4 linked regions of the Saccharomyces cerevisiae S288C genome follow. The main gene of each other region encodes a partner of the protein of the gene in region 3 in a complex. Each region holds a gene or a part of one and is shown on either strand. Other genes may lie near its edges.

Region 1 (2,550 bases), on a different chromosome or scaffold from region 3:
ACAGAATGTCGCTAAAGAATTGAACAAAGTCATTCCAATCGCAGCTGTTACGGGTGCATCCGTCTTAAGTTTGATCACCGTTATCGGTGAATCTTTGGGTTTGAAAGGTAAAGCTGCTGGTATAGTTGTTGGCATTGCTGGTGGGTTTTCTTTGCTAGAAGTCATTACCATTGAATACCAACAAAGTGGCGGTCAAAGTGCTTTGAATCAAGTCTTGGGTGTTCCAGGTGCTATGTAAACAAAGAAAAGAAAAAAAAGAAGGAAAACAAAAAAGAAGATCAAATTCTCTCTGCTACGCGCATTTATATACGTACGAACTTTTTGCTCTTCTTTTAGATTTATATGTATCTATATTTAACTCAAAGAAAGATGACATATGGTGCAATGTCTAAGCCATGTTTTATTTGATTTTGTTTTACAATCTTAAGTTTTATTTTTTATCTACCTATAAAGTCGAAAACTAGTATTTACACGCATATTGAAGAAAGATTATAAATAACTTATCCACGCTCCTTATAACATGAAGTGTCGGTGGCCCCTTCGCTTTGTACCCTCCCGTTTACTATGTATTCTTTTATCTTTAATAACTGTAAACGAGGATCTAATGGGCCGCCGCTAAATCCTTTAAATTCGTGTTTTAGAGGTGGTACATTTGCGTTAACGTAGGGCTTTAATTCGAAATTAACCATATCTGGGGTAACATAGGTTCTGACTTTCTTCCAGTTTATCACATAACCACCGAATTTTGTATGTCTACCAATCCCTGAAGCTCTTGTCCCTTTGTACATCGTCTTGTTACCTTGCTTCGTGGTCAACGGCACTCTTTTATTCCCAACTTTTGATAACCCATAAAATAATTCACCATCTCTGTATTTCTTCCAAGGCCTGGTAAGAGCATTAATAGAGGTCTTACTAAATTGAGAAATGGGTGAGCCTTTCATTTTAGTTATTTGCTGTCCTCACTTTCAAGGTAATCTTTGATTCCCGTAGTTTTTTTAAGCAAAAATTGGTGTATACTACTTCAATAGTCCTATCTTTTGTATTAATTCTAGCTTTTCAAAAATAATCCGTGAAACGTGATAATAATAATTATGTATCTCAAGAAAATCATCATCAAATAGCCGCCAACAAGCTGCAGTGAAGCAACATTGAAAGTCCTTCCCGCAAGTATTAGGCTCTGTTTAAAGATTACTAACCTTGTTAATAATTATAATAACACTTCACAGCTATTTTCGTATTCCTTTTCATAGTTAAGGGCATTTCACTTTGATCTAGAATGATCCTCTGATTTCGATGTTTTGTTATATGGTAAGGAAGCTCTTGAGCATTGCTCACAATTACTGCTGCAATTAGAAGTTCAATGAAGATGGTATCTTTTTTTTTTTTTCTCATGAGAGGGAATACCGACTTTACCATAAACTTGAGTGATAATCGCATTGTGCGCCGCGAAAAGCTGTGGCACCAATATCAATAAAATGTGTGTAACTGAATTATTTAAGTGAAAAACTATTTCGAGAAACCGAACAACCCTGTAAGGAAAAGTGAAAAACGAGGGCAGAAGTAATTGTGAAATCATGTACGATAGCAGGGGTGTCGCATTGCACTCTGAACTAATTCATAGGTGGAATCACGCTTTTTCCATCTTATCCATTGTTGCATTTCCAAAAAAAAGATTGTTGTTTGCTGGTAGCCAAGACTCCAAGATATTGGTTTTTGATCTTCCCACATATAATCTAATACATACGATTAGACTAGGCGAATCACAAGAGGAAACGCATACCAGATCTTCGGTTTTGTGCTTGACAGGATCAGAAGATGAAAACTTTTTATTTTCAGGCGGCGCAGATTCTTTGGTGAGAATTTGGTCCATTGGCGAAAAGACCATTAGAGATGACTTTCTACCTGTTACTGAAATAGCCACTGTTTACTCAGTGACCGATATTGGTGATATTTTCTCATTGGCATATTTGGATTCGTTGGAAACTATTGTCTTTGGCTGTCAAAATGCAAGCTTACTATATGTTGAGAACTTGATTCAGAAGATTGAAAAAAAATCCTCTGATGGAGTAGAAAATATCAATAAATTACCGCATAGAAGATATGATAAGTTCTTTGATTCGTTAGGTCCGACTGGATATAGTTCAAATTCATTATCTCAAACTTCATTGACCTCTCTACAAGAAAACTGTGGCGCTGCCATCATAGAGGTTCCCTCCGAAAACATTATTAAATATGCACATTATGGGTTTATTTATTCTATTAATAAATTGTGTCCCAGGTTTAATCAGTTATTGGAAAAAAGCTCACGAACTTCTGGTGCAGAGCACATAATTTCATCCGCTGGTGATGGAATAAGCAAGCTTTGGGAGTTCTCTAAAGATAAAGGGCAAAACACTGTTAAAATCTCCTTGATAAACGATAAAATCGACAATGAAGATAGCGTCATATCCCAAACTATTGAGTTCCCATTTTTATATTGCGGGTTGACTGACGGGATTATAAAAATCTGGGACTTAAATACTCAGCAAATAATCTCAACTCTGAAAACAA
Region 2 (3,028 bases), on a different chromosome or scaffold from region 3:
TCAAAATAACGGGACACGCATTCACTTAAATTTCGTTTCTTCACATGGATCTTGTCAGTAATAAAATCTAGAGAATATTAGTACCTCGGTAAATTTGTTGTACATACGCAACTGGAGAGGAAGGGGGAAATCAGTTGTGAATTGTAACCTGGACATAAGTTAGGATCTGCCACAGTTTTGCTTTGAACCGCTGCGAGAACGCTCCCACCACCACCGGCAAAGAGAACCAGCAGAGCGCTTAGACATTCCAACATTATCAGTATATCTCGTGTGTTCCTGCCTCTTGATGATTTTAGCTAGCTGTAATGTGTAACGAATTATTCCCTTACTGCTTCTTGAGTTAGCCGCCAAAGAGGAAATATAGCCACAAAAAGAACTTACAGAAAAGATAAGGTAAAAAAAAAAAGTGATCTATAATGGGAAAGAAAAATCCAAACTTCTTCAAAGAGTATATATATGTACAGGATATTAAAATGTAATGATAGTAGTAATAATAGTATTAACATAAGCTAAGCGGATCTTGCTGTTTCCAAAGCTTTTCTTGTTGCATCATCCTCTAACTTTTGAATTTCTTTCATAATAGTATCATATTTACTTTTTTGCTCTTTAGAAGTAACATCGTTAACAACATATATGTTTGGTGACGCGTAATTATCAGAAAATGGGTGGATAGCATTTGGCTCAGCTTCTTTATAAGCGAGTTTAGGATCGTTGGCAGATGGCAAAATTTTTTCCTTAATATACCTTTTAAACTGCAAGGGTGTGCTTAAAGTGGTCAGTTCATAATCAGGAATTAGATAGCCAGATTTAGATTGCAAAAATTTGGTGAACTGAAATTTAGCTACCAAATCAGAGAATTGGACGTCCTGGTCTACTTTGCCCAATGTTTTTTCCGTTGCCTGCAATATCATATCATCTAACTGATTATCAGACGTAATCTTATCCCTGGATAACCACTGATTGAATGGCGCAGAGGAGACCGCAAGCTTCAACTCCTTCTGTCTCTTACACCGTCTAGACCCTTCGCCAATAAAATTTTCTGGTATTAGCTCCAATCTGTTTTTGTTATTGGAAGAGGATTGAGAGGAAGCCTCGTTAGTGCCTTCTTCAATATCCTTTATCAACTGTTTGGTGTCCTTGACAGGCTCTTGGTGCTCTTCTTGCTTCTTCCTCTTGAACCATGACATAAAGTCCCCGTTTGCAGCGGAACTGTGAATACATCTGGCTTTCTGCTTGTAGCCAGAGAGCCAGACCGACCTTTGCGGCAATGGTCTAATACAATGTAATTTAAGCAGTGACGACATCCTCATACTATGTCCGCCTTTCCGTCTACCCATTATTCACTTCAGGACTGATGATCAGGCATGCAGTTAATTTGACAGAAGTCGTTGTTTCACTATAAATTTGTCAGCTACCCGCCTCACCAGCAGCGATAAAGAACGAAGAATAAAAGAGAGCATTCACAGAGTACGAATCCAGTATAGCGGTAGTGGATACAACGACAGATTTAAGTCGTAAAAATGGGAGCCGTACTCAGCTGTTGTAGAAACCATTCCGGCGAAGAGAATGAAGCTTTGCTGAGGGAACAGCAGGCAGGCTATGGAAGTCAAGGAAACGCAAATGACGAATACGATGCCGAACAAATGCGGTTGAAGGAACACGAACACGAACAGAAACTGCTGGCCAGGGAACAAGAGTTAAGAGACATTGTTGCAAACACCAACGATAAACTAATAGACATATCGATGATAAACAATAGTGGCATTGTAATTCAAGGGACAGACCTGCAAGAAGCTCTTGATAAAAGACAACAGGAAGAAGGTGGAGATTCCCGGGAAGACGAAAGGAGTGCAGGTGATGACAACCTCAGTGGGCACTCAGTGCCTTCAAGCGGATCCGCACAGGCAACTACTCACCAAACTGCACCAAGGACTAATACGTTTACTCTGCTTACATCACCGGATTCAGCGAAAATATCAAAGGAACAGTTAAAGAAGTTGCACTCTAATATACTAAATGAAATTTTCAGCCAGTCCCAGGTAAACAAACCAGGCCCCTTGACGGTTCCCTTTTAATGAACTTTTTGTATAACATCATTGGTATACAAGCTTTATAAATAAATGTTAAATAGTTAATGAAATAAAAAATCACATTTGACGAATTCGGAAGACAAGTAGCCCAAGAAAAAAAACAACAAAAGCATGCTAGAGGATGATGTTTAAAACGACCCTCAGCCTGTTATTACAATAGAGAGCAAACCAAAGAATAATAGATAAAGTACACAGATATGGTAGTTAAGAAGCGTAAGTTGGCAACTGAGGCCGGTGGCAGTGATGAAAGGCCTAAATACTTGCCGGGAAAACATCCTAAAAACCAAGAGAAAACTCCGCATGTGGATTATAACGCCCCATTAAACCCTAAATCTGAACTTTTTCTAGATGACTGGCATATACCTAAATTTAATCGATTTATTAGTTTCACTTTGGATGTTCTTATCGACAAATACAAAGATATTTTCAAAGATTTCATCAAACTACCAAGTAGGAAGTTTCATCCACAGTATTATTACAAGATCCAGCAGCCAATGTCTATTAATGAAATCAAGTCAAGAGATTATGAATACGAAGATGGTCCAAGTAATTTTCTTTTGGATGTTGAGCTACTGACAAAGAATTGTCAAGCTTACAATGAATATGACAGTTTGATTGTAAAAAACTCCATGCAAGTAGTAATGTTGATTGAATTTGAAGTATTGAAGGCAAAAAATTTGAAAAGAAATTACTTAATTAACAGCGAGGTCAAAGCCAAATTACTGCACTATCTTAATAAGCTAGTTGACGCCACGGAAAAGAAAATCAACCAGGCTCTGCTGGGTGCGTCATCTCCTAAAAACTTAGACGACAAAGTCAAGCTAAGTGAACCGTTTATGGAATTAGTCGATAAAGATGAACTTCCTGAATATTATGAAATAGTGCATAGCCCCATGGCTTTATCGATCGTAAAGCAGAACCTCGAAATTGGTCAGTAT
Region 3 (3,059 bases):
CAAATTCATATTCCATACGCCGCGAAGTTATTATTCCAAGAACTTATGGCTATGAACATTACACCACGTTTATATACCGATCGTTCGAGAGATTTTTAAGAAATAATGTTGTAACTCTAAGAAAGTAAAATAATAAAAAACATTTCATTTGTGCTGATCTTGCCAAAAAAAGGGTAAACAAGTAGGCAATAGTAATAAAATAAGAATGAAGCATTTCTTTTAATAAGCAGAGAGAACTTTCAAGCATTCAAAAAACACAAAAATAATGATGAATAAAATGGGACTCACAGTGTTTATTTATAGTCCTTGTTTCGCATTTTACCAAATTAAAATTTAATTTTATCAAGACATATTAATGAACTTTAGCGGAAAACCTTAAATATCCAAGTCATAAATAATGACTTATGTAAAAAGTTATAAGAAAAATATACGGTGTTCATTTTGGAACAATGTTGCTGTTACACACTGTTAAATATATTTAGTATTCATAAAAGAAAGAAGATTTTAATACGCGTTTTGATTAAAACTACATAACAGATAAATATATACATGGATTGAAGACTGCAAAAAGGATATATAAAAAAATGACAAATAATTTCAATAAGCTATTTCAATTGGTTAAAAATTGATTCTTTAAGAGGCTCTGGTATTGATGATTGCTCATGGGCAAAGGCAGTAATATTTTGTTTATAAGGGTTTTCACTTCCATCGAAAACTTTTAAGCGGTCTAACCGTTGCTTTCTCAATTTATTTTTAGGCAACATACCGCTAACTGCTTTTTTCAAAATTTCTCCAAATCCTTTATCGGCAACAACCTTGTTCATTGTCTGTAACTTTAGCTGACCAGGTCTACCTGAATGAGACCAGTAAGTCTTCTGCTCAAATTTCTTACCTGTTACACGGATTTTTTGGCAATTAGTCACTACTACGTAGTCTCCACAGTCTTGTGACGGATGATAGACCGGCTTATGTCTACCAATTAAGGTAATTGCAATTGCTGAAGCCAATCTACCCAATGTCCTCTTATCACGGGCAACGTCGACATGGTGCCAAAGGCGCGCAAAAGCCAAGCCACTGTGTCCAATCTTCTGCGACATGAATAGGCTATTGTTGATGCTGGTATTGCTTTCTTTTTCTATATGATATCAGTGTATTCATAAGGTCTTTCTCTTTTACTTATTTAGAACGTTTTAAAGATCTCTAAACTACAAGGAAGGCTCCATGCGGGTAACAATCAACATTATAACGATAATTAACTAAACCATAACCGTCTAAGTAACCATAGCGTGCGGTGATTCTTCGCTAGATGGAACTCATGTCTTACTAGTAGCGTGTTTGGTACGTGCAATATAGAGCAAAACATTATATAGACATCGTAATAGCTTTTTATGTGCGGACTGTAATGTTTGTAAGAAGTAAAACCAGTCACTAATATAGTGAAAAAAAGTCAACTTATCGATCTATGTATCTCATAGAAGATGTATTGATTTAATATAACTTATAAAGGTGCTTCTACAGTAAGGTGCTGAGAGGACTTACTATGTCGGCAACAAGTTCAAATCTGAAGCTCTGAGGATTTCGCGAGATGCGCACAATCTGAAGTAATATAAAGATGAAAACACAATACAAAAGGCCTGAAAATCTATATGTCCGATAAGATATCATAGTATTCTTACTCGCAAGCACACATCAGGTACTTGGAAGTGTATGATGAGGTATCAATGGTGGCTTTATTTAGTATATGCCATCGGCCTAATGCTATGCCTAGGCCCGTCGTATATTCATCCAGATGAACATTTCCAATGCATCGAGATTTTGGCTATGCAGTTCATGAAGGTCAAAGGTACCATCCCATGGGAATTTAAATCAAAATTTGCTGCTAGGAGTTACGGCCCCCTATTATTGGTTTACGGGCCTTTGTTCACTATTTTAGAATCTTTTCCCGAAATTCAGGACAACCCAGCGTTAATTCTGTATTCGATGAGACTACAAAACTATGTGATGTACCTATTGTGCTATCATTTTTTAATACCTAAATTAATAAGGGATGAGAGAAAGGCCGTACAATTCATCAAAAAAAGTCTACTTTTAACTTCTTACGTAACCTGGACGTACCAAACACACACGTTTTCCAATTCCATAGAAACGCTGGCTTTAATCTCAACTTTAACTGTAATGGAAGATATGGTAAACGAAAAAAATATTCAAAGAAGTAATTTCAAAAATTCGGTTATATTGGGACTTATATTTAGTTTTGGTGTTTTTAATAGAGTTACTTTTCCTGCATTTATTTTCTTACCATGTTTGATATTATTCTGGAAGTTTTACCGGGTCCATTGGAAATCCTTTTCTTTACTTTTACTTTCATTTTCATTTTCCTCGTGTCTATTTGTTCTTATTGATACAAATATTTATAACAACGGAAAGGGATTTGTCATTACGCCCTTGAATAACCTGAAATACAACCTCAATGTCCAAAATTTGCAAGTACATGGATTACATCCAAGATACACCCATCTGCTGGTCAATTTACCTCAAATAGTTGGCCCAGTATTGCTGCTAGCGATTTTTTCCGGTTACAAACTCGATAAATTATCTACTTACGCAATCATATCTGGCCTGCTTTTTCTTTCATTCTTTCAACATCAAGAATTAAGATTCCTTGTACCGCTAGTGCCACTACTCGTGACAAACTTAAACTGGACACCTCTGAGTTCCACGTTAGTAAACAAGAAAATTTTCAAGGGAACTTGGCTTCTTTTTAACATAATCATGGCGTTCATCATGGGAATTTCACATCAAGCAGGAATTATCCAATTTTTGGGAGATTACTTCCACTTTCGTACCGAACAAATGGGCGTTCACATATGGTGGAAAACATACTCACCACCCACCTGGATGTATATGAGCAATAACCTAACCGTTTCTTCTCTTATCAATACACAGGATGGTATTGAGTCGATAGATGAAGTGGCATTCAGTGTAGGTAACCATCATGTAATAGACCTTAAAGGCTGTGATTTACCACTTTTAACAGAAACAATTAGGCGGCTGCGTTT
Region 4 (2,805 bases), on a different chromosome or scaffold from region 3:
TGCAAGAGAGTTCAAAAGTAGCTTTGGCTCTCTGGAATGGAATAATTTCAAAAGTTTTGTCAATTCTGTACCAGATAATGACTCTCAACCTCAGGAAAACATCGGGAATTTGATCTTAGACCGTAGCGTTAAAATTCCGAGTACAGATTTCCAACTGCCGCCACCTCCTAAGTTATCAATGGTTGGTTTCCCCCTGCTTTATAAATATAAAGCTAATCCATTTGCGAAAAAAAAAAAAAACGGTGTCACAGAAGTGAAGGGAACATATATCAAAAACTATCAGTTGTTTGTTCATGATCTTAGTGATAAGACAGTTATACCGTCCCAAGCTCATGAACAAGTCCTGTACGATTTTGAGGTCGCGAAGAAAACAAAAGTCTATCCAGGCACTAAAAGTGACTCTAAATTTTATGAATCGCTGGAGGAATGCTTGAAAATTTTGAGAGAGCTCTTCGCTAGACGTCCAATTTGGGTTAAAAGACATCTTGATGGGATTGTCCCGAAGAAGATACACCATACTATGAAGATAGCGCTGGCACTCATATCTTATCGTTTCACAATGGGGCCTTGGAGAAATACATATATCAAATTTGGTATAGACCCCAGAAGTTCAGTGGAATACGCCCAATATCAAACAGAATATTTTAAGATTGAAAGGAAATTACTATCTTCTCCCATAGTGAAAAAGAATGTACCAAAGCCACCACCCCTGGTATTCGAATCAGACACTCCAGGCGGTATTGACAGCAGGTTCAAATTTGATGGAAAAAGAATACCGTGGTACCTGATGTTGCAGATTGATTTATTAATTGGTGAGCCAAACATTGCAGAAGTTTTTCACAACGTCGAATATTTAGATAAGGCGAATGAACTAACTGGATGGTTCAAAGAATTAGACTTGGTCAAGATAAGAAGGATAGTAAAATACGAACTTGGTTGCATGGTTCAAGGAAATTATGAGTATAATAAATACAAGTTGAAGTATTTCAAGACAATGTTATTTGTTAAAGAATCCATGGTACCCGAAAACAAGAACTCAGAAGAGGGAATGGGTGTTAACACCAATAAAGATGCTGATGGGGACATAAATATGGATGCAGGTAGTCAAATGTCCTCAAATGCCATAGAGGAGGATAAGGGTATCGCTGCTGGTGATGATTTTGATGATAATGGCGCCATAACTGAAGAGCCAGACGACGCTGCTTTGGAAAATGAAGAGATGGACACTGATCAGAACTTGAAGGTGCCTGCAAGTATAGACGATGACGTGGATGACGTTGATGCAGATGAAGAAGAACAAGAAAGTTTTGATGTTAAAACAGCGAGCTTCCAAGATATCATAAATAAAATAGCTAAACTAGATCCTAAAACCGCGGAAACAATGAAAAGCGAGCTCAAGGGATTTGTTGATGAAGTCGATCTGTAATAAGTAGGTTTTCTTTTATTTCAATATCAAAATATGCCAAATGTGCAATAAAACCATAACTACGTATGTGATATTTCTGAGTTTTGTCCCCAAACCGTAAAGAGCGATTATCTCGTGCAAAATGCATCAAAATCAAATAACTAAAATGAAAGGGTATCATTATTATTCCTAAAAGTTAAGAATGCCTCCAGAAAGAACGGGTACCAACGCAAACGAACACACGTTTTGTTCACTCCTAATGTTGAAGTCTATATTTGCGAAGCGATTTGCTTCCACAGGGTCATATCCTGGTTCTACAAGAATTACTTTGCCAAGAAGGCCTGCAAAAAAAATTCAACTGGGGAAGTCACGACCGGCTATTTATCACCAATTCAATGTCAAAATGGAGTTGAGTGATGGAAGTGTAGTTATCCGGAGATCCCAATATCCAAAGGGTGAAATTAGATTAATTCAAGACCAGAGAAATAATCCGCTGTGGAATCCTAGCAGGGATGACCTAGTCGTTGTGGATGCTAATTCTGGTGGTAGCTTGGACAGATTTAACAAGAGGTATAGCTCTTTGTTTTCTGTCGATTCAACGACCCCAAATTCAAGCTCTGAAACAGTTGAACTATCTGAAGAAAATAAAAAGAAAACACAGATTAAAAAGGAGGAGAAGGAAGACGTTTCTGAAAAAGCGTTCGGTATGGATGACTATCTATCTCTGTTAGACGATAGTGAACAACAGATCAAATCAGGTAAGTTGGCCAGTAAGAAGAGAGACAAGAAGTGAATAGTGTTTGCTCCCCTTACTTTTCTATTCTCGAACCAATTTATATTCCTTTTGGGACATAGATCTCAATCGCATCTGTTTGAAGACTACATAAACAGCCTTGTATATACCGCAACATATACACATACGTCTACATATGTATATATTGACAACGAAGATTCTGCGAACGCTTGGTTTGGCGCTATCGCGATAGATTAAGTGCAACAAGACACACATTTACAAACATAATATGAACCAGATATGATTCATGGATTATCGAGGCAAATGGTCTGTGAATGAAGCTCACTTACGCTGCAATAAGCAGCAACGGCATTGTAGTGATCATTTTCTACGCCTCGTAATATTTCAGCGCAGTGGAAAAAAATTGAAAATTTTTACTCTTCTCGAGTGTTGAATCACTGCTGCGATACTTATCACGTACTTTGTATACATAATTTTACTTGCAATTAGGACTCGAAATCTGTTCAATTACTTTTGAGGATTTCTTTTATTTTAGTTTCCCTTTTTGCATTCGTGTTGATTTTCAAGAAAAATTGTCGTTCTTCAATATCAGTAGACGATTTTACTCTCAGATTGTTAAAAAATCGGTTAAGATTAAAAGAATGAG

What was found.
Region 1: MRPL23 (region 3) and MRPL27 share a complex: the UniProt entries of both Saccharomyces cerevisiae proteins name them as parts of the mitochondrial large ribosomal subunit.
Region 2: MRPL23 (region 3) and MRPL13 share a complex: the UniProt entries of both Saccharomyces cerevisiae proteins name them as parts of the mitochondrial large ribosomal subunit.
Region 4: MRPL23 (region 3) and MRPL36 share a complex: the UniProt entries of both Saccharomyces cerevisiae proteins name them as parts of the mitochondrial large ribosomal subunit.

What each region holds. Positions count from the first base shown.
Region 1 is NC_001134.8:766,631-769,180, reverse strand, and holds MRPL27 (mitochondrial 54S ribosomal protein mL41 MRPL27), read right to left. Parts: upstream 942-2,550; coding exon 501-941; downstream 1-500. Other genes in the region: SSH1 (Ssh1p), read left to right, coding at 1-238; glutamine amidotransferase subunit DUG2, read left to right, coding at 1,575-2,550. UniProt on the Saccharomyces cerevisiae protein: Component of the mitochondrial ribosome (mitoribosome), a dedicated translation machinery responsible for the synthesis of mitochondrial genome-encoded proteins, including at least some of the essential transmembrane subunits of the mitochondrial respiratory chain.
Region 2 is NC_001143.9:449,914-452,941, forward strand, and holds MRPL13 (mitochondrial 54S ribosomal protein mL50 MRPL13), read right to left. Parts: upstream 1,305-3,028; coding exon 510-1,304; downstream 1-509. Other genes in the region: YKR005C (uncharacterized protein), read right to left, coding at 1-38, 108-254; MEH1 (Meh1p), read left to right, coding at 1,521-2,075; RSC4 (Rsc4p), read left to right, coding at 2,288-3,028. UniProt on the Saccharomyces cerevisiae protein: Component of the mitochondrial ribosome (mitoribosome), a dedicated translation machinery responsible for the synthesis of mitochondrial genome-encoded proteins, including at least some of the essential transmembrane subunits of the mitochondrial respiratory chain.
Region 3 is NC_001147.6:610,037-613,095, reverse strand, and holds MRPL23 (mitochondrial 54S ribosomal protein uL13m MRPL23), read right to left. Parts: upstream 1,098-3,059; coding exon 606-1,097; downstream 1-605. Other genes in the region: DNA-directed RNA polymerase II core subunit RPB2, read left to right, coding at 1-99; SMP3 (glycosylphosphatidylinositol-alpha 1,2 mannosyltransferase), read left to right, coding at 1,708-3,059. UniProt on the Saccharomyces cerevisiae protein: Component of the mitochondrial ribosome (mitoribosome), a dedicated translation machinery responsible for the synthesis of mitochondrial genome-encoded proteins, including at least some of the essential transmembrane subunits of the mitochondrial respiratory chain.
Region 4 is NC_001134.8:483,363-486,167, reverse strand, and holds MRPL36 (mitochondrial 54S ribosomal protein bL31m MRPL36), read left to right. Parts: upstream 1-1,664; coding exon 1,665-2,198; downstream 2,199-2,805. Other genes in the region: transcription factor TFIIIC subunit TFC1, read left to right, coding at 1-1,426; GRS1 (glycine--tRNA ligase), read left to right, coding at 2,801-2,805. UniProt on the Saccharomyces cerevisiae protein: Component of the mitochondrial ribosome (mitoribosome), a dedicated translation machinery responsible for the synthesis of mitochondrial genome-encoded proteins, including at least some of the essential transmembrane subunits of the mitochondrial respiratory chain.